Cricetulus griseus: one gene and its partner. Each later gene encodes a partner of the first gene's protein in a complex. Links are inferred from orthologs where the notes say so. Each region holds a gene or a part of one and is shown on either strand. Other genes may lie near its edges.

What was found. Proteins that work in one complex are often made in the same cells at the same time.
Region 2: the proteins of Vegfc (region 1) and Kdr are in contact, whole or in part, in a crystal structure (PDB 2X1W), measured with the Homo sapiens proteins. The link is inferred for Cricetulus griseus from reciprocal best matches to the Homo sapiens genes VEGFC and KDR. Residues at the interface, in NP_005420.1 of Homo sapiens: Thr148, Asn149, Phe151, Lys153, Phe186, Ile188, Val190, Pro191, Leu192, Gln194, Pro196; in NP_002244.1 of Homo sapiens: Val135, Tyr137, Ile215, Val216, Val217, Val218, Asn253, Val254, Gly255, Ile256, Asp257, Phe258, Asn274, Arg275, Asp276, Phe288, Leu289, Ser310, Ser311, Gly312.

What each region holds. Positions count from the first base shown.
Region 1 is NW_023276807.1:33,450,112-33,461,334, forward strand, and holds the start of Vegfc (vascular endothelial growth factor C), read right to left. Parts: upstream 6,866-11,223; 5' UTR 6,713-6,865; coding exon 6,566-6,712; intron 6,557-6,565; exon of another isoform or gene 1-6,556. UniProt on the Homo sapiens protein: Growth factor active in angiogenesis, and endothelial cell growth, stimulating their proliferation and migration and also has effects on the permeability of blood vessels.
Region 2 is NW_023276807.1:142,440,396-142,450,904, forward strand, and holds part of Kdr (vascular endothelial growth factor receptor 2), read right to left. Parts: intron 8,619-10,509; coding exon 8,525-8,618; intron 6,634-8,524; coding exon 6,437-6,633; intron 3,239-6,436; coding exon 3,108-3,238; intron 2,887-3,107; coding exon 2,718-2,886; intron 2,149-2,717; coding exon 2,009-2,148; intron 1,080-2,008; coding exon 902-1,079; intron 1-901. UniProt on the Homo sapiens protein: Tyrosine-protein kinase that acts as a cell-surface receptor for VEGFA, VEGFC and VEGFD. Plays an essential role in the regulation of angiogenesis, vascular development, vascular permeability, and embryonic hematopoiesis.

The sequences.
Region 1 (11,223 bases):
CTCCATGTATGGGCACACATAAGCAAATACACCTGCACACCCACATGCACGCATATACACAACATTACCATCACCACCAAGGCAAAAGAAAGACTGTTGTTATTCCTGGTTTCTGTCTTATGTTTATCATCCTGAATATAACATGGCAACCATCTACGGAGATGAAGTAGATAACAAGATGACATAAGATCACCAGACTAGAGCAAATCAAAGGATACACAAACATCCTAGGGGTGAGGACCATTATTAATCACTCTTGCTCTCAGTGTTGAAGGAATAGCTGATATCTAGAGGACAGTGTAAATCTGGAGCAGCTAGTGCAAAAGCAGTGCTCGAACTGAAAGAATCAGGCATTCCCCACATGCCAGCCCCCATGACCTCAAAAATACATTTACAGCAGAGCCAAGCATCCAGGTTGCATGCAAGGCAACTATATCTCCCTCTCAAGAGCTATAGCCTCGAAATCTACTATTCCAAGCCTTCCCAAATCAGTGTAGGACAGAAAAAAAAGACTATAGACCTAATGAAGTGACAATGCTGTCAGTAACTAAGTTTCCTGAGTCAGTTCTTATGGTGTGATATTTTAAAAAATGGATATCGACCAGGAAATCATATTTGAGAAGAAATACAAAGAAGTGAAAGCCAAAGAAAGTGAATTGGACCTTTTGTATACAAATCCCTACGTATCAAACATTGTGGGAACATAGTCCAAGAATGGAGTCATATGATATGAGGAGACTGCTGAGTGATTGTGAGAAAACAAGACAAGAGTCTTGTGATCTCAGTTTCCTCAAAAACATAGAATTTTTCTTGGAATGTGTTTCCCTGCTCCTTCCAGGTGTAGTGGATAGGAGTGAGTTTATTTCAGATTACTCATTATAAGCGGCTATTGCATTTGTTTATATGCTTGCATGGAGAACATCTTTTTGCCCTGAGTGGCTTGCCTGCCATGTGCAGCTTGCCCTTGTGATTGTCCACTTCACTCATGTGACTACTCTTAAGCCTCGGAGTATAAATTGTCTGATGCTCTGAATAAAGTTGGCTATTGCATGAGACTTTAGTCTATCTCGTTTATTGGCCCCATTTTCCCAGGTCCCACCACATTCAGAGCAGTAAACACAGCATCATACAGACTAATGGCAAAAACCTGAGAGAAAAATGAGCAAAACAGGGGATTATACTTTACAAAAAAAAAAAAAAAAAAAAAAAAAAGCTGTACGACTGTATGTCTGTCCTTAAAGAGCAGCTGATTCAGAAAAGGTGACAGAAGTCCAATCCTTCCCTCAGAGGACACTTCTGGAAAGTCAAACTCTAAGCCTTTAACAGAAATTGATGTGGGATGGAGTAAGGAGAGTTTAAGAGTGTCTTATTTCTAGTCTTAGAATTCTGGTGTTTCAGAAGTGGGGGAGCTTCCTACTAAAAAGTATAGATAGGAGAACACAGAAACACAGACAAGGCTCCAAATAAATGAAGACACATTACCGCTATATTTCCTGTCTCTTTTACTTAAATAAAATTACTGAATACTGGCTAATATACCATATTTTTAATTTTTCATAGAGATTGCAGTAACAACTGTCCCAAGTTTATTGCATGCCTCAAGTCCTGGCCCAAGACAGTCTCTTCCCTTTAAAGCCAAGCTTCTCAACCTGTGGATTGTGCTGCCTTTGGGGGGCTGCACAGCAGATATCTTGACAAACATTAGCAAAATTACAGTTATGAAATAAAAAGGAAACAATTTTATAATTGAGGGTCATCTCAACAATAGGAACTCTATTAAGGGGACACAGCATTAGGAAGGTTGAGAACCACTGACATAAGGGCTTACTTTGAGGTTTATTTTGCTTTTCCAAATATGTCTTATTCCTACTAGTATCCTAAGTGATCTGTGGAATTATACTGTTACTCATCCTCTTCTATGAAACAGCCTAATTCTACAAATGGAAAACACTATTTTCTTATGACTAAATTACCAAGGCCAGGGCTGATTTCTTCTACACCTTCAACTTTCACAGTTATCAATCTTCTGGGATGACTCCTTCTTCATGTCCCTCTGTGTCTGCCCAGCTGGGGCTGTACATGACACTCCATCTAATGTATTTCTTTTACTTCTTAATTAGATTGCCTCCAAGTAAAAGTCTGTATGACATTTATCCAATCTTATGATTGATTTCAATAGTCTGTGTATCATTTGCTAACTCTTCCCCCATGACTCACAGTGTTAAGTGGAACCCCATAGGCTGAGTGGTGAAAAGAACCTCAGCAGAATTCCAGCTATCTAACCAGACTGGTACTTAGGGGAATTCACTGTTGTCTATATAACACCCCAGCTCCAAACTGTTCTTCTATTTGCCTTCTCATGTCCCTATGCTATCCTAGAAAGCAAGTGTAATTCTGGTGTTGATGAATTCATCTATTAAAAATTCACATCCCAATTACAGCCAAGGCTCCTCTCTGAGATCAAAGATCCCAGATCAAATAGGCAGACAGAGAGTCTCTCCCAAACTTCAGAACATACACAATGTTAATTTCATAATAATAGATTTTATAATAATAGGTAAACTCCATAATAGATAAAAATTTCATAATTTCAATTTTATCACAGACTACAATTTATGTTGTCTTTTTCACCTCAATGGCAAACTACTTAAAGAAAACAACAGCAACAAAGTCTTTCATGATGACTTCTGCCTGACATATTATTTCACAAACTGAACAATGACACGATGACCATGATAAAAACTAATGAACTTAAGGCATCCATATATATTGTGTAATACTTTTATTGAGAATAGAAATGACTTGGGATATTATTTCAAATACGTCTTCCATACCAAAGCCCAGAGATTCATTTGGTGTCAAGTTAAAAGAGAAAACAGAGATGTCTAGGAAATTTCAATTCAGGAACACATATGAAGACATCTAGGGAATTCTATGCAGGCACACATATGGCACTTTGAAGAATACTACCATTGATTTAGGTGACAGAATAAATAACAAACTAAAACACACCAAAGTACACAAATTATTAAAAAGTTGATAAAGAAAATGTGTTCTATTGCAAACCATAACATGTAAAGACCTACATATTTGCATACCTTTTTTCAAGAACAAATTAAGAAAACATGAAATTTTGGAGAGGGAGGCACTGGAAAGATTTGGATGGGCAGAGTGGAGGATGGATATCATCAGCAGAATACATTGTATCCATAATAAAATTCTCAAAGAAAAAATTAAAATACTATAATTAAAAAGTCTGATAGCTACCCAGAAAGACAAACATGAGCAATGCCTTGCTCAGCTATCATTGGAGAATCTTCTTCCTGCAGCAGATGGGAACAAACACAAAGACCTACAGTCACACATTATTCAGAGAGTGAGAAAGCCTGGAACACTTGGCTGGAATTGGAGTCTCCATCAAATCCCTTCCCTCAAGTCTCAGGGAACACTTCAGAAGAGGCAGAAAGAGATTGCAAGAGCCAGAGGGAATGTAGGACACCAAGACCCTTTGGTGTTCTCTAAATCAACATGATCAAAACACAAATGAACTCATAGAGACTGAGGAAGCATGCCAGGGCCTGTATGGGTCTGCACCAGATGGGATTTTAGAGCTGAAAGGAGAAGTGGACACATGGCCCCATCCTAACCAGGAAGAGACAAACTATATTTAAGGGAATATACTGCATGCCCAGCAGAATATGGCTAACGAAAATGAAATCAGTGGCATCTTGGAGGCTCCTGGTCTTATAAAGTCAGGTCTCCCCGGCCCCCCGGCCCCCGCCCCCCCGCCCCCTTTATTAAATTGTATCTGCTTTTTGACCTTCTTTGGGCTCTTCCCTTTCTGTTATTTTTTCTAACTCTGATGAGTTCGTTTTTGTTTAATCTATTATATTTCATTTTATAATCAGCCCATAGAAGCCTTTTTATTTTTTAATGAGAGATAGAAAAAGAGAGTGGAAGGAATTGGCCAGGGGACTAGAATTAGGATATATTATGTGAGAAAAGAATATATTTTCAATAAAAGGAAAAAATTTTGATAGCTATAGTTTGTATGAGGTAAGTCTTACTTCTTTGTGTCATAAGCCAATGTCTTTCTTATAACTAAATTCTTCAGTTCCAACTCACCAGAGTATGGTCTACCAGACTCACCTTGCAAATTATTAGCTATAGCAATAATTTTCTGAACTCAGCAATATCCATTAGTGTGATAACAAGTTTGGAATGTTTCTTTTTATGCCCACAATATCCAGCTGCTTTAGCTTCCTGACACTGGCCTGTTTGGATTAACACCCTTCAGGAAATATTTTAGGACTTTTCATTAAATCACACAACCATTTAAAAAAAAGAAAAGGGAACCTACTAAATTCACTTCCAACTATTTGAGTAGCCTTGGGTGCCACAAGGAGGACTGGATGATGAGCTTGCTTCATAGTTTAACAGCTTTTCTATATTTGTGAATTTTTAAAAAGCAACATGGGTATTTATTAACAAACTTTGTATGAGTTAATACTGAGTATAATGAACAACTTGTTTTTATCTTGTGAAATGCCTTCTTGGGGTTTTAGGAAGCTTACAACTTGTTTCTTCTTGGGTTGAAGCTAACTGAGGTGCTTTGAAAGCCCACTAGGGAGAGACATGGAGTCTTTACACCACAGTTTGGGTCACTGTGCCAGTTTCACAGCAAGGACACAAAAGTTTCAGGAAAGGCATCAGTAAAACAGGCTGCCAAGGGCCTCTTCACCCTCTAGGGAACAGTTGAGCACAGCAAAAGTATGCTGCCCATGAAACTCAAAGATACACAATAAAGTTTCCTCCTACGGATGAAAAAACAAAAACATATCACATACTAAATATCAGATCTCATTCAACATACAGAATTTAAGAGATGGTTAAATACAAAAAAAGAGTTGCAAACAAAATACATAGATTTTCAGAGAAAAGGAGAAATGTAATGACATACCAATGACAGTAGCTTTGAAAATTAAAAATGAGGGATATTTGCCTGCAAGTGTTCACCTTCCTATAACACACACCTGAGCACTTGACATGCACACACACACACACACACACACACACACACACACACACACACACACACACTTATGCTCTGGTACAGTCATGCATGACTGACTCGGTGATGACTGACTATTATATCAACTATTGGCTTATCAGGAAATGTTTCTCCTTTTACTCAATCTTCACACTTTCCTACTGTAAATCAAAGCCAGTTATCACAGGCAGTGGAGATGTTGTCAGAGTAAGTCATACCTACATGTGTTTGAAGAGTCAGGAAGTGAAAGGGACTGGCAAAACTGAAGGGCTCAAATTACAAGTGTTACTGGTTGCATAGCTTTACTCTTGTGGCATTTGGGGACAATGTTTTTCTCATCACTCTAGTTACAGTAATATGGTTAAGCTGGAAGTTGCAATTCTCATAATGACCTACAAATTCTGATAACTTTTTTTCCCAAATGTAAACCAAAAGGTAGTTTGATACTTTAGAAAGTAGTCTTGCCCTTATTAAAGTGTACCTCAGACAAAACCCAGGGAAGGTGATTTGCTCTCTGCACATTTAGTATGTGTTCCCCAATAAAGTCAACTGAAAGTTGAGGGAAGACACCCCTTGCCTTTTTTCACTTGCAGTCAGCTACAATAAACCACTTCAGGCTGGTTCCAGCCAGGGAGGCTTCACAGTGCCGTAAATGCAAAACTTTTTCAGGAGCCCAAAACGTTAAAATGTATAAATATTCTTTAGAAGGTTCCAGTGAGAATAAGGTAAGATAACTTCTTTTGAGAATCAAATGTCTTCAAAAGTGTCTTAGCATGCTTAGGAAAGTTACTCTTTAAAAAATTAAACAAACACATTGACTCTTCAATTTTTACTATGTCATTGCCAGGGTCTACAAACGCAGTTGATAAAGTTGGCGAAAAGTTTCTCTTGCCTATGATTTAAAAGATTCCAATCTCGGTTACAACTTAGATTTGAGCAAGTTCAACTTAATCCTAAAATCTAAAAACCTTCAAGCCCAGTTACTAAATTTACTTCCACTTTTTCCAAACTAGTTCCCAGAGCCTGGGGCTCCTGCTATAAACATTCCAGGAGCAGAGACCTAAGTGTCTAGTCACACACCCCAGAAGCTGTTTGGAGTCCAAAGAACCAGCCAGAGGGGGGGGAAAGGAGAGAGAAAGAGAACATTTCCCTACAGCAATGAAATTCTCTCTGGAGTCATGCCACCAGGGCAGGGTGCAAGCTCCCCTGTTGGCATTAGGAGACCACTCAGAAGTAACATTCTCCATCTGCTTGTGTGTGACCGGGACACCTCTGTGTACCCTTCCCTCCTCTCAGTTGGTTTCCTCTCTAGGAACAGCTTTCCACTGAAAAAGAAGGGCCACTCTGCTCCAAGGAAGCGCGCACCAATCTCTAACTTTGGATCCAAAGGTTAAATAAATAATTATGCACACACTCTCGCCGACAGGTTCTCTGTACACCCAGCAAAACCAAACCCACAGTCCAGGGCTGGGAGCAGCTGATCCACAGCCCAGCCCGGCGGGTCCGCGCACCTACCTTGACCTCGCCCCCGTCGGGCTCCGCTTCCGAGAAGCCCAGTCCGGACTCGAAGGCGGTGGCGGTGGCGGGCGCCTCGTGGGGACCCGGGATCAGCGCAGCGGCGAGTAGGGAACACGCCAGAGCCAAGAAGCCCAGCAAGTGCATGGTGGAAGGACCGGGAGCGGGGAGGCCGGTCCGCTGGCAGGCGCAGGCTGGGGCGCGAGGCTGAGGTCCCCTCTCGTCCCAGTCCCGCGGTTTCCTTCGGGGGAACCCCCTGAGCGAGCGGATCCCGGGGGCTCCGCAGCTCCCAACTTTTGCCCTCGGCTCTGGCAGCCCGCGCCGGGGAGAGGCGCCGGGTGTCAGGTACGAGGCTCACAGGAAACCGGACATCCGAGCTGCCCTCGGTGGCGGCCCGCGAGGTGAAGCGAGGGCGCCGGGGGCCGGCTCCGCCGCCGTCGCCGATCGCGGTTTTGTTTTGGCGTTTTTGCAAAGAAGGGGGGCGGTGGGGGGCTGGTTGGTTGCTTAAGACCAGTCACCCCGAGATGTTCCGCTCGTCCCGAGGAGCCCGCGAGTCCCTCGTCCCCCTCCTCCCTCCCCTCGCCCGAAGTGAAAGGAGCCGGGCCGCAGGAGCCGCGGGAGAGGCGGTGGCGGTGGCGGTGGCGACGGCGGAGCCGGGGGCGGGAGGAGGGCGGCGGGACGCCCGGCGGCGGCGAGGCCGGCGAGCTCCCGGGCGCTCGAGCCTCCTGCGCGCGCGGGGCCGAGCGGTGGTGGCGGCGGCGGCGGGCGCAGGGGCAGGGCATGACTGATGCGCCCTCTGCCTGCGCTTATGTGAGAGAAAGCGGCCGAGGGAGGGAGCGTGCCGAGCCCCGTCTGCCCTCCCCTCTTTTTCCCTCGGAAGCTCGCTCCCTCCAGCCCCACGCTTTGCTCCAGCCCCACCTCCATTCTCTCCTTGCTTTTCCTTTCTCTCCCCTTCTCTCTCTCTCTCTGTACTCTGTTGGGAGGGAGAGGGCAGCCAGAGGCTAAAGTTAAGTCTGGGGACTGGAGCTCTATCCTCAGGACTGAGCTCAACTGCTAAAAAGATAAGAATAGGAGTTTTTGTTTGTTTGTTTGTTTTTTCTTGGGGGGGGGGGAGCTGGCAGCACCTTGAGTTCAAGTCTTAACTCCATGGGTTCTTTGTCCTTAGAGCGTCCACGAAGTTTGAAATCAGCCTGAAAGTTCTAAAAAAAAAAAAAAAAAAAGTTGCAAAAGAAAGTCATCATTATGGCAGAGAGCTTAGGAGCCATGAAGTAAGAAGAGGTGCCCACCACCACCTCAGCTGTTCTCTGTGTAGCTTGAAGTAAGAATGCAGCACATCCCAGAATACAGGGCAGCCAATTGAGAGAGATGCTAGGTTAGTGATCTTCAGAAAGTTCTAAACTTCCAGCAGATGGAGGGATAAGCCAGGGTCTCCAAGGATACTGAAAGACACCCCCACCAAAACAAAAGTTTCTACAAGATATACCTTCAGTTAACAAGGGAAAATCGATAAGAATGGGGCAGTTTATATGCCGAAAAGAGCAATCGGCTGTGATGCCTTTGTCCTTTGGAAAAGCACCTAGGGACTTCCTTATGCTACAAGGGACATCAGTCACTTTCCTCCTTGGAGCTGGTGGGCAGATTGCACAAGTTCCAATTTAGCAGTGCAAAGCATAAAAGATCCTACTTATTTTTCTTAACAAAACAAAACCTGTATTGAGTACACTAACGTTCAAAACTCATCAAATTGTACACTGAGGAAAAACTTCCTTGTGATTTAAATCCTAAAATATGGTTGTCCCCTTATCCAACATTGACAATCACTTACATACCCCTGCAAACAGGGAGCACTCCAAGGTATGGCTGTGCATGTTCCCTTTACTGAACTAACGTTGTTGAAGTTTCCTTCCATCTATCCATTGCTTTTGACTTTGGCATTCTTCAAACTTCATCTAACCTAACTTCCACATGGACTTTCCTCGGATATTTTGGAAATATCTGTCACATTCTCCCAGGGTGAACTTTTCCTACCAGTGAAAAATTCCTTTTTATTTAACCTGACAGTTCCAATTCTCCTCATGCATCATGCTAAGTTTATGTTCACAAAGTACGCTGCTCAGAACATGGCTCCATACTTAAAATACTCCAATGAAGCATGCAAGAAAAGGGTCTCTCTTGTCCAGAGAGTAAGCATTTGTTGACATAGCCTTGGACCAAGTTTATTTTCTGGCAGCCAAATCTGACCCTTGATGCAACAGATGGTTAAAGCTGACCAGATTTCTCAAGAAATCTGAGTGTGTACTGCTACTTAGTCACGTCTGCATGGCTCCACCTTTGTGTCGGGGTTGCTTTCCTGTGCCCTAATGTGTGCTTTGTTATTTAACATGAGGAAGTGCCACCTTGCCACAATCAGCCCATCACAATGTGTGGAGATAACTAGGGATCTTGGCATTGTCAAAATGTTCCCCTCTTTCAGTGTTCCTGTTGTACATGTTTTCAAGGAACTTGTCATGTTTATCGTCATCTCTTAATAAAGTTATGGGAAGAGAAAAGCTAAGGACAGGCTGGATTGTGACTCAAATAGAAATGGAGTGTCCTGATAATCGTGTCCCAGTGCAGTGATCCTCAACTTTCATTGCAGTTGGAATCACAAAGGGTGGTTGTAAAAACAGATGCTTGGGCATACCACCAGAATTTACGGAATTCTGCAGAAAGGCTTGGATGTCAGAATGCCTTTTATAGGCAACCCACAATGAGAACTTCACACATTTCCACAGCCTCAGGGTATATGAATACCATGATAGCGACAAACTCAACATGTATCAAAATATATTAGTGACAGGATTAAAAAAACCTTTCCACAGAATTTTTCCATTTAAATATAGCTATCTTCCTGCTACTGATGCTGTTTGATGGAAATAAAATTCTAGCAAGAGGTATTTAAATAAACTAGTAGTCTTCTAAAACAGTACAGCAAAGCTGGCAGTAAAGCCCAGTGTTAGAATGCTTGCCCACCACACATGAGGCCAAGGGATTAAAAACAGCAGCAGGAGTAGTAGAAGTAATAATAACAATAATAATAATAATAATAATAATAATAATAATAATAAACATACATCTTAAAGAATAAATTTTATAAAGTAATTAAAAAAGAGTTTTTAGGGGCATTTTCCCAATTTAACACCCCAAAAAATATATGAACCATTAACAGATTTTGAAGTTTAAAAAATAATTTTTACTGTTTTTTTGTTTTGATTTATTTTTTACCAGTGACTTCCTCCAAGATCTTTTAAGATCCACTCCTACTTTTATTTCAAATGTGCTTCTAAAAGGGGGGAGGGATTACTCCTTGTTTGTTTGGTTTTGTTTTCCAGAAAGTATTGCTTTGTTAGTAAAGACTGAGAGGAGAGAATTGGGTAACAGTTGGATAATGCCTGTAGTTTGTTGTAGCCATTGACTTTGTAATCTTTTGTGAAGACAGTGGTTGAGGGCAAATAACAGTATGTCGACGTCTGCATCTTATCAGAATTTGTTAGGTTCCTCAGGACCAAATTCTGGCACCTGCCACCTTGAGAGTCCATCAGAGTCAAGTGGTAGTGATCCAAAAAAGCAATTTTAAGTGGGGCCACATGGGAAGATTGTAGGCTCTGTACTAGGGAACTGACAAGAATTTCAAGACGAAGAAAAGCCCAGGACTAGAAATCTAGTCAAGCAGCTTTAACCAAGCTGCTGTGTTCTCATTATTATTTGGCTTGTTTCCCCTTGGAAGGTCTGCTGGTAAGGAGAAAATGGTTACTGCTTGAGAAGCCACCTCATTTTACATTGGTTCCTGTCCACATTGCATGTAAGGTTGGGGATGACCCTAAATTTCTCTTCGGGGTAATGGTTCCCATGTGGGGGTCAGTGTTTGTTCCCATCCCTGAGCACTGAGCAAACTGGCCTGTGAGATTTACTGTTTGGAGATCTTGAAACTATCAGTATTTTTATCCTTGAAAAGGGATGAGAGATTAGATACCTGTAAATCTAATCAACATCCTTGCCAGTTTTTAGATAGTGATCTCTTAAGAGCTTAACACTTCTATGTTTTAGAGTATTCCTTTACACTATGTGAAAATATATCACTGTGATAGGTTTAATAAAATGTTAAATGGCCAATAGCTAGGCAAGATTTTCAGGGCAGAGAGAGGACACTAGGAAAAAGAAGGGCAGAGTCACCAGCCAGACTCAGAGGAAGGAAGAAGCATGACATGTAGGAGATCAGATAGCCTGCCATGAGCCAGGTGGCAGCATGTAAATGAGTAGAAATGGGTGACTTTAATTATAAGAGCTAGTTAGAAACAAGCCTAAGCTATAGGCCGAGCTTTCATAATTAATTAGAAATCTCCATATTGTTTATTTGGGAGCTGGCTGGTGGAACAGAGAAAGACTTGCTATAGTTCTATACAGTACTTCAGAAGGAATATGATCCAGGCATAAGAGACAACTTCAGGCCCAAACAGTACTTGTAACACATGCAGCCTTGATGTATTTTAGATGCACTGTGCATGTTCCGACATTTGTTAGATTCTGTCCATCTCCTTTAGTCTGACCTGCTACGATAAATCTTTCTGCCAAAAGCCACCTGAGCCCCACCGCCACATGTGAGCTTTACACCAGACGCC
Region 2 (10,509 bases), about 110 Mb from region 1:
ATCAAACATCTCTACCTGTATGTTTAATGGGCATCTCCAAAGGAACTCACTCAACACTATTCTCCAAATGCCATCTTACCCACCCCCCTTCACTTAGTAACACCACTGTTCCTCTGCCTGTGTTAAAGTGAAGGCCATCTCTTTATGTTAAAGCTCAAGCCATAATCACAGCCAACAAATCAACCAGCAAGTCTAGCTGACTATGCCTTCAGAGTAGATCCAAGATCTCATGTCTTCTACTTCCTCCACAGATACCCTAGTCCAAGTCCTCTACCATCTCTCACCTGGATTTGAACAACCAACCCCCTAACTGTTCTTCCTTCTTCTGCCTTTACTTTCTTAAAGCAGTGCAATGGTAGATCACTTGCCTACCATATGCAAGACCCCGACATCACAAAACAAACTATTCCATGTAAGCTTCAAAGTAACCCTGTAAAAGCATAAGCTAGAGCTCTAGCATAAATAAATTATCTAAACTAGACAGCTATGTAAATGAGAGGGCATAACTGAGAATTTGGGTGATTTAGCTAAAGCAACAGAGAAAGCAACTGAATCTGGGTTTCCCCAATTTGAAGGGTTTATGCTTCTTCAAGTAAGCTCTTAGCCTCCCTTACCGAAATCTTTAATATACCATTTCACATACTAGCACTCTACTTCTAATAATAGTTATAACTGCAGAAACGGCTCTAGCAAGCAATACCTAGTGAGCACTTACCATGTGTCATTTCTAAGTTGAGGTTTTGAACACAAGTCCCTGACTCCAAAGTTAAGCTGTTGACCTCTAGGCCTTGTGTCCTCATTAACAAGAACTCAAAAGTATCTTGCAAATGAACAAGGTAAATTTGTGTAAATCATCTCACTCTTTCAGGTACAGTATATTAGCAAGAAAATGGTCACTTACTATGAATTTGGACATACGTGCTGTTTCTCTTGGTCATCCGCCCACTGAACGCTGTGCAGATATATAGCCCTTGGTCATTCCGTGTCACACTGTCGATTATCAAGGTGCTCAAAAATTTCTTCATCACAGTCCCAGGAAGGGGTTTCAGGTCCCTGTTTATAACCTTCTTATGCTGATGCTGAGAAACAAAAAGATTGTAGTGAATGTTCACAGCCCAGCAGAACACTAACCATCCAATAGCTCCTAGAGACCCACAGATTCAGGTCCTGTCCCTCGATGCACACTATTATTAATAACTGAGGCTTTAAATGCCACACTGGCAATATATACATTGGGATTCAGTAGAATTGAGTGAATGTTGAAATACGTGGGACTAAGGTAGAACTTTGAAGACTTCTTTAGCTAATGGGAATGAGATGTGTGTGGAGTATAGATACAAATACAACGGTTTAAAGAGAAATGTAACCCAGATCACCTCTTAAAGGGAAAAACAGATCAAGGGCTTTAGAGAACAGAGAAATAATGCAATGTTTAGGGAGAAAACATGATTAGAGGTAATGCTGACCACGCCAGCTTGGGGCTGGACAGAGGTGTTGCTGACCACGACTGCTTGGGTGTGGTCAGAGTGATGTGGGAAAGGTTTAAGTAGCTAGGGGTGCAGTGCAGGGTCCCTCTCGAACTCCCTGCTGCCTGGCTAGGTAGACTTGCGTGCGTACCTCTCCTAAATAAACTACCATTATAAATCTTGCATCTGACTCCACATTGTGTTCTCCAATAGCAATGTCAAAAGATTAATAACCTAGCAGAGATGAATATGCACAGGTCCTGGCAAGGTATCTTTCATGGTTGCTATATATTCTGCCATACTCCTATATTAAAGTGTGGGTACACTGGGGTATCTGTGTGTGTGTGTGTGTGTGTGTGTGTGTGTGTGTGAGAGAGAGAGAGAGAGAGAGAGAGAGAGAGAGAGAGAGAGAGAGAGAGAGAGCATGTTTTAAAGCCTTTATAATTTATCTGACCAGAGGGAACCCTTTATCTCTCACGCAAACTTCATTAGGGCTTATTATCAAAGTATTCAGAGACCTGGCTCTGAGCTGTTTTCATTACCTTCAAAGAAGGGATCTCCCACTTGATATCAAGCCCCACGTTGAGCTCAGTTCTTGCTGTACAATTTAAGACAAGCTTCTCTCCTGCAGATAGCTGGATTCTATGAGGGGGGCTCAGGGTCACATCATAAATCCTGTATCCTGGAGCAAGTAAATGATAAAAACAGAAAGTAAGACGGAAAAGACATCCAGGAGTTGGCACACATCTTTTAAAGTGGTACAAAGTGTGTGACATCACTTCTCTTGGGGGGACTCACTGCTTCTTGATGGCTTTTAGGAAAAAAGGTTTATAGTGATTTACAAATCACTATCTTCAGCGTTTTCGAAAATGTTGTAACCTGGTGAATAATAAAATCTAGGCTAACAGGGCCCACTTGAGTAAATAGCTGAACTTTCCATAAAATAGATACAATTAAGAGAACTGGTGCCAAGCAGTGATCTGAATATTGCATTTTTCATAACCTGAGCGCCTGTGGTTTTTCATTCTTGGTCTTGGCAAGAAAAGAGGAACACTCCCTGCCCCACCCATTGCAATGGTTTGTCTGGTAGAGAAGAACATCTATAAGGAATTGACCAGCCCCATATCCTGAGCTAGTATCTTTTCCCACACCCCTTGCTCTTCACTCTACACCTTCTCTCCAGGATCTTCATGTAGAAAGCCACTCTTCATTAGATGGTATTAATGGCACAGAAAGGAAACACCCACTTACCTACAACCACAACTATGTACATGATAGACTGGTAGGTTTCATCATTGATCTTTGCCTCGCAGAAGACCATGCCTGCATAGCTGATCATGTAACTGGGGATAGTAAAGCCTTTCTCACTGTCCCAGGAGATTCTGTTTCCATCCGGAACAAACCTCTTTTCTGGATATCTCTAGATAACAACAAAGAAACAGTATTTAACCCAGTGCTGTTGGAACTTGATGACTTCTGAAAGGCTTCAAGAATGTAAGTTGGTTTTGTTTATTGTGTTGCTGACTCTCCCTAAGGGCTTTGCAGTTCACTATTGACATGCTATTGGAAGCAGGAAGTGCATATGCAAAGAGGCTTACAGCCCTGGAAAGATGGGAAGTGACTAGAAAATAGGCAACTCACTGCACAGAGTGACACATTGAGGCTTGAAATTGACCCTAGGCACGGAATCACCACAGTTTTGTTCTTGTTCTCGGTGATGTACACAATGTCATGCTGATCACTCACAGAGGCGATGAATGGTGACCTGTAATCTGGAAGAAAAGTGAAGTTTCCAGTGAGTTATTAGAAGGACAGTTGGTATTCTTAGGTCCATGAACCATAACTGAACGAGTGAATGATTGGCATTGACAACTTGCATGAGCAAAGATGCCCATAGGTTAGTCTGGCTCCAAAGTTATGGCCAAGGAAGGGGAGAAAAGCATATATACACACATACAGACACACACACACACACACACACACACACACACACACACAGAGAGAGAGAGAGAGAGAGAGAGAGAGAGAGAGAGAGAGAGAGAGAAGTAATCTGAATGGAAACTCCAAAAATGAGCTTAACTTCTCTACATGGAACATTAAAAAGTAGAATCTATTTTAGAAATGCCATGCTTTAATAGGTTATTATAATTTTTTTATAAAATAAGCATTTTAAATTTAAATCCATACATTGAAACTATGAGTTTTACAATGCTAAATATTCATTTCTTTCAGTAGGCAAATAATATAAATGACCTGAAAAGAAAATGAAAATTTTAAACAAAGGTGCACAATAATTAGATGATTCAGTGATTCAAAAAGAATGATTTCAATAATACCTTAAGACTGTGAGCACTGAAAATAAGACTCTTTATGCAATAATGTTTAATAGCCACTACATCCAGTTCAAGATTTAAAACTTATTAATATATCTCTGACAATGAATATTTGGAAAGCCATAATGCCAAAAGATTGAGCCAAAAGCCAGAGTCATTTTGATATCCTTCAGAGAGTATTCACACAGCATTAATACATGGCTGGGAATTTACTCCATTCCCCAGAGACAGAGGACATGGTCTGGAGTCACCACTTGAAATCTCAGAGATAACATCAACATCCCAGCTCCGACCCCCCACCCACTCCCACATGCATCTGACCAAGCCTTTCCAGAGGTGAAGAAAGAGTTAATGAAGCCAAAGGGAAGAAGAGTAGCTAATTCCTTTCAACAGCAAAAATCTGATTTCCTCCCCAGCTGGAAAGCATAGAAATGCAGCTAGCTTCGCCCCCCACATGCCATAGCCATTATCTTATGAGGCCAACGCCAGCTTCCTGGCTCTATCCACTGCTAGTTGGGTCAGAGGACGGAGGAAGTGAGGTGGGGACCAGAGGGGGACATTAAGGACCTACCCATAGGGAATAATACATTCAAAGCTTTCTTTCCTGTTGTTAAACTTCATGATCAAATAGAATGCTAAGCTGAGGCGGAAACAGAATTTCATGGTGTATCCAAAGGCACCAAGTATACTGGCAAATAGTGCTAGAGACCACCGCTTGTTGCTATTGCACATGTTAATGGACTATTACACGATGTGCTTCATTCAGAGTCTGGAGAAGTCAAATTAACCTCTTGACTTAAGACTAAAGTTATTTGGTAAATGGGTTCTATTTCAGTAGCCCTAAAGGGGAAGTAAACAAAGGAGCATTAAACAACCACGTATCCTCTCAAAATAAAATATTTACTGTAACTCAAGAAATGAATTTTACATGTCTCCAGGTTTCCTGACTTGGGGAGAAGGAAGTAACGAGATATTGTGGGAGAGGCTCATCTTGTAGCATTTCCAGACAGGCTGAGAGCAGGAAATCCTTGCAATCTTCTGAGAGAGCCACATCTCCCAAGACTGCCAGATCAAAAGGAGCCAGACATTCCCCAAGGTCTGTCTCCCTCAGCTCTGCAGAGTGAGGAGGAAGGCACAGAACTCCATCTTAGACTTTGCTTACCCTGGGCAAAAAGAATGCCCCCAGGGCACCATAGGACATTAGGACAGTCTTCCATAGACTGTCCTTACTGAAGGACAGGTCACATCTTATGGACGGTCATATCTGCAAGAGTGCTGTCCTGATGAAGAGCCTTTCTATCTGGTAATAGTTAATTCTAGAAAAAAAATTTCAAAGTCATTTTCACGGGTCTCAAATCCTCTGAGATGTAAGGTTAGATACAGATGAATAAATAAAATAGGGAGTCTGCAACCCAGACTTGGAGAGATGGTCCAGCTGTTAGGAGCACTGGCTGCTCCTGCTGAGCATGTACATTCAATTCCCATCACCCAAGGTGGCTCAGAGCCTTCTGTAACTCCAGTTCCAGTGGGGGTCTAATGCCCTCTTCTGACCTCCACAGATAGCAGGCGTGCACACAGTACACATGCAAAACTTGCATTCACAAAAATGAAAACAAATAAATCTTTATATATAATGAAACCTTGACATTCCTGAGAAGTGCATAATATTACAGGTGTCTCATAAGTGAAGATGGGTTTATTGCAAGAAAAGGTGGTGTGCAGTTTTTAAAATACAAAAGAGATCATAATTCATGCTCTAGAAATCGAATACATGTTGCCTTGTAGTCTTTATTATAAAGATGTTAAGTTGCATGCCTTGCTTACAGTGCTAAAGTAACCCTTTCACATGAGACAAAAGCTAAGCTAATCCTTTAATGTAAAATGAAAGGTCTTCTGTAAATCAGTCCTAAATCATTAGCCCTCAAAGGTGAAGTATGCAAAGGAAGCTCACACAGCTACCATCCCCTCAAAATAAAATACTCGCTCTAACTATGAAGCGACCTTTCATGTCTCTAGGCTGCATCTTCCTGGAGTCGATGGCAAACTTGAAGCCCTCTCAGAGCACACAAGCAAAGACAGGACATGCAGTCCTCCACGGCTTCTTTGGAGATGGTGTTGTGCTTTGCACATGGGTATGTGGATTTTTTTTTAATAAAGTGTGAGTCTGGAAAGGAAAAATCTTATGGGGGAGGGGGAAAAACACAACCTCCAGAGTCCTTGGCTATTTCGCTATGCATTCCTGCAAAAACCTCCTCCCTGCTACAGATAACCTATCTCACCACAGAAACCTCTCTATAATCCACTTCCAATCTCCCTCCATTTCTAAGATCTCAGGGTCTCAAACAAGAGAAGGCATTTTATGAGTCCCTATAGCCCATGACAGGTCACAGAGAATCTCAGAGCACCACACAGAAGGGACTAGGACTGACCTATCTAAAGAAGACAAATGCAGCTCAGACCAAAGCCCAGACAGTCAGTGAGTCCTTTCTTAAAAGAAGTCTGGGAGGGAGATTTTTATATTCTTTTTGGCAAACAGCCTTTCCATCAAGACTCCTGTTGGACTTAACTTTTCTTGTGCCTGTTGCTTTTTAGACCTAGTAAGTGGATGTGGGAAGTACATTCTTGTCCACTGCTTACCTTGAACATGGACATAAATGACGGAGGACATGTCGACATCCCAATAGAAGCACTTGTAGGCTCCGGTATCATTTGCCACCACTTTTGGAATTGTGAGTGTCTTGCAGAAGACGCTGTCACTGCACTCAGTCACCGACACCCTTTCCTCAGAACCATGATGATTGTTGGGCCAAAGCCAACCCAGGTCCCTCTGTCCCCTGAAAAAAGTATTCCAGGAAGGTATTAATGTGACACCCCATGGCATGAGGCTCTGAATAAGAGAACGGAAGGTATGGTTCTCATGAGCATATAAAATGCTCAACAGACACTTCAAAGTTGATAGACACTGATGACAGTCTGCATGGACATGCCACCAAAGATCACACACTCTATTTCAGAAATCACCCATGGGGTCATGTGTTTTCTGTTAGTTCACAATTCATTCTTTCAGTATGAACTGAAAGAATGTTTTTTTAAGTATATATAATTGCTGACCATTATTAAGGACAAAAACTAATGCTTTAAGGGACCAAAGATATGATGCTCAGTGCTAGAGCACTTTCCCAGTGTACACCAAGAAGAAATAAATCAGTGCCTTTATGGAAGCTCACTCTAACTAGGGGAGAGACAACTAGGACATACAAGTCATTGTATAAAAGGTGTTAATTTAGTGCTATGAAGAGAAACATAAAAGAAGCAACAAACAGGCCCTATGCACATGATGAGGAACAGCATTTCAAGTAGGAACGGTAAATGTGAAGGACAGAGACCAGTGCACATCTGGAGTGTTGGGGAAACAGCAGGGAAGCCAGAATCATCATGTAGGTGTGAGGGAGGAAGAAGAGAGGGCACCGAGAGAAGAGGGCCCTGGTACCTCCTTGAAAGGGTAAAGTTAAATAGACAATACTTTTATTGCTTCATTTCTCCACAAAGCAAATGGAAGGTAGTCAATATGAATAAAACAATGTGGCCCACTGAGCCTTCATTCAAAGAGCTTGAAACTCCCATGACATCACAGTATTGACTGTGCCTGTTCTCTCCAGGGTTTGCTCAGAACACAAGAAATGTTTCTGAAGTCTCCTTTAAAGGGAGGGGGACCTTTGCAGATCTCAAGTGACCTTTGTGTCTGAGACTAGGTAGAAGGGAAAGTCTCTGGAAACGCCATGACTTACGAAGATAAACAGCTCCTGCTATGGCTTTCTGTTTTTGTTCCCCCCCCCCCTCCAAAGGCTGGGTATTGAAGACTTTGCAGACCTTAGATAAGAGGCCTAGTGTCTCTCCACATGCAACAATCTAAAACAGACCTGAGTTATGCTGTGGACCACTTGGTATTCTTCAAATAGGATGCAAAGGCCACAAGCTGCCAGGACTCTTTGTGGCACCAGCACTCAAAACCACACTGATTTACAGAGACCTCTGAGTCATTCATGAATGAGTGCCATATCCACCTATACCTCCTCTAGGTTTCCTTTCTTGACTCTTGGTTGAAAAGCAAAATTCAAAGGCCTCCTCTTGTCTAAGAGTTCTGTTTCCCTGCTTATCCAGCATCAGTAGCGTGGCTACTTGCGGGCAAGAGGGAAAGAGGGCCTGAATATCAAGCCAGAGTATGCAGTTCATGTTTTGAGCAGGACATATGGTCAGGAATATTGTTGGCTAGAGATTAAGTTGCTACTACAGACAGAATTTCATTTGTAGAACACAGTTCTTATAAAGGGCTAAAAAGATGTTCACAAGTCATTCGAACTGACATGAACATGGCTCAGACTTCCACTCTATTTCACAAGGATAAGCCCTTAACTTTACTGATTCATCAATAGTCATGAATGTCTATCACATGTCAGTTTTTGGCACGCATGTACATGTGTGCATGGTTGTGCAAATGCATATGTGAGTATGCATTTGTACGTGTTGAAAAGGCCCGTCAAAACAGTACAAAAGTTTGAAGAGACCTTTCTCATTGTTTCGTTATTGCATGAGTTCTTAGAAGCCTCATGACTTATAAACAATTACAACAATACTATTATAATTCTGCAGTAATGGAAATGTTGTGACCTCAGTAAACAATGAGTCCTTGCACACAGGAAATCTGAATCTAAAACGAACCCTTACCTGCAAGTAATCTGAAGGGTTGTATTGGCCAAAATTGTAAGTACATCTTTTTGTGTGCTGAGCTTGGGTGGATGGAGGGAATCATCTGGCAAACCTAGAAAGAAATTAGACAAGAGTCGGACCCCATAGGAAACACCTTCCATCAGCAATGCATACTCCAAGTTTTAAAAGACCTCTTCAGCAATTCATCGTACAAAAGTGGAATCTGCTTTGCCCCATTCCCAGTAAAAGTTCACAAGCTCTGTCATAACAGGAAGAATGGGCAGATGGTCACAAACCAACACAACAGTTCTGCAATTCACAGTGCTAGGGTGGAGTTCCTGTTTTCCTGCACTGCCAACTTCAAGGTCTTACAAAAGGATATGGGACATCGAAACCCGGTGAGCCACCATCTGATGATCTCAGGCCCTTGGGAAAGCATAGGATGTACACATCTGACTAAATTGCTGATTAATGAAAACTCCCTAGAGAGATCTCTATACAGCTCATCTCCATACCTCCCCCCAAAAAAGGGGCAGGAGCTACTGTGACCTTTGTCCCATTGTCTTTTATCAGGCAGTATAGCAGATTTCCTTTGGTAATCAAGCTGCGGTAGTGGCTCATAAAGACAGGGCGTTTAGATGAAGGAAAATGAATTGAGGAAGAGTAAAAATCTCTCAAGTTCATGCATACATGCATATTAATATACTTTTCCTCTGAGCAAAACTTAAAATAGTGTAACTCTAATGAGCTACAATGGGGGGTTCTCAACTGATTAATTAATCAAAGCTCTGAGCTCATCTAGACACAAAGCTCCAGACACAAGATACATGTTACCTAAAAAAACTAAAACACAGAAAGATATCATGAGATATACACGTCTCTAACAGGTCACACCACAGCAAGATAACTAGGTGTCAGTCATCTAAATGTAAAGTGTTACCAGGCATGTTAAAAGCATGAGAAAAAGAGGAGTTGCCCACCATGCTAAGGGACATCAAAATCTTCCAGCTCTCAGCTTGGAAAGTAACTGATCTGCCTAGCCTGGTGGTGCACACCAGGAAGCCCAGCACTCAAATGGACCAAACAAGAGGACTGTAAGTTTGAGTCTAGCCTGGGCCATATAGTGAGTGAGACTGTCTCAAAAGAAAAAGATAACTAATTAATACCAGGCAGCCACCCAGGCTTTCTAATTCACACCAACTCAGAACAGATGACTCGTAGGGTCTCAGCTGGCATTGACCTTGTTGGGCAAATAAGTGAACGTGAACAAATACGGGGCCGTGTGAAAGAAGAGAGTATGAGCAAACAGCCAGGGCAAATAGCCAGTGCTGTGACACCGTGGCCCCTATGTGAACAACTGGAAGCAGGTGGTTAACTGACAGCACAGGGTCTCACACACCTGCACAGATGTGCAGAACAATCTACAGCTACACCACCCCAAATACACCCAATCTAATCAGATGCACATATGTTGCTGATCTAACTATAGATATATTGATTGATGACATGTTTTCAATCATTGGAAATGAAATGACATTAATAACCCCCAGAAGCTAGTTGACATCATCAATGACTTGTATTTGGGCAGTGGTTCTGAACTTTATGTGGTGTTTGGATATTCCTAGATCTGCAAATATACACTTTAAGTGGCATTTAAAGTGACTGTGTCACGGGTGCTCTGTGGGGTAGTCATGGGTAGTCATGTTTAATCAATCAGTGTAATCACTTTTCAATATGAAAGAAGGCAAGCACATAAACACGTCTTCCAATGATGGAATGCTACTTGGTTTGAGAAGTGAAAAATACAATTTGTTTGATAAGTAGATTTTAAACATGACTCAGAAATATTAACCCCAAAACAATAACTGGATACGACTCATATGAGGAGCCAAATGAAAAAGAAGCCATCAGTTGGGCAAATGTGTAAGGGAAAATGTGGTAGTAAATAACCACCATTCAATAAGCTGTGTCCACTCTACCTCTGCAGCAAATGACTTTTATTC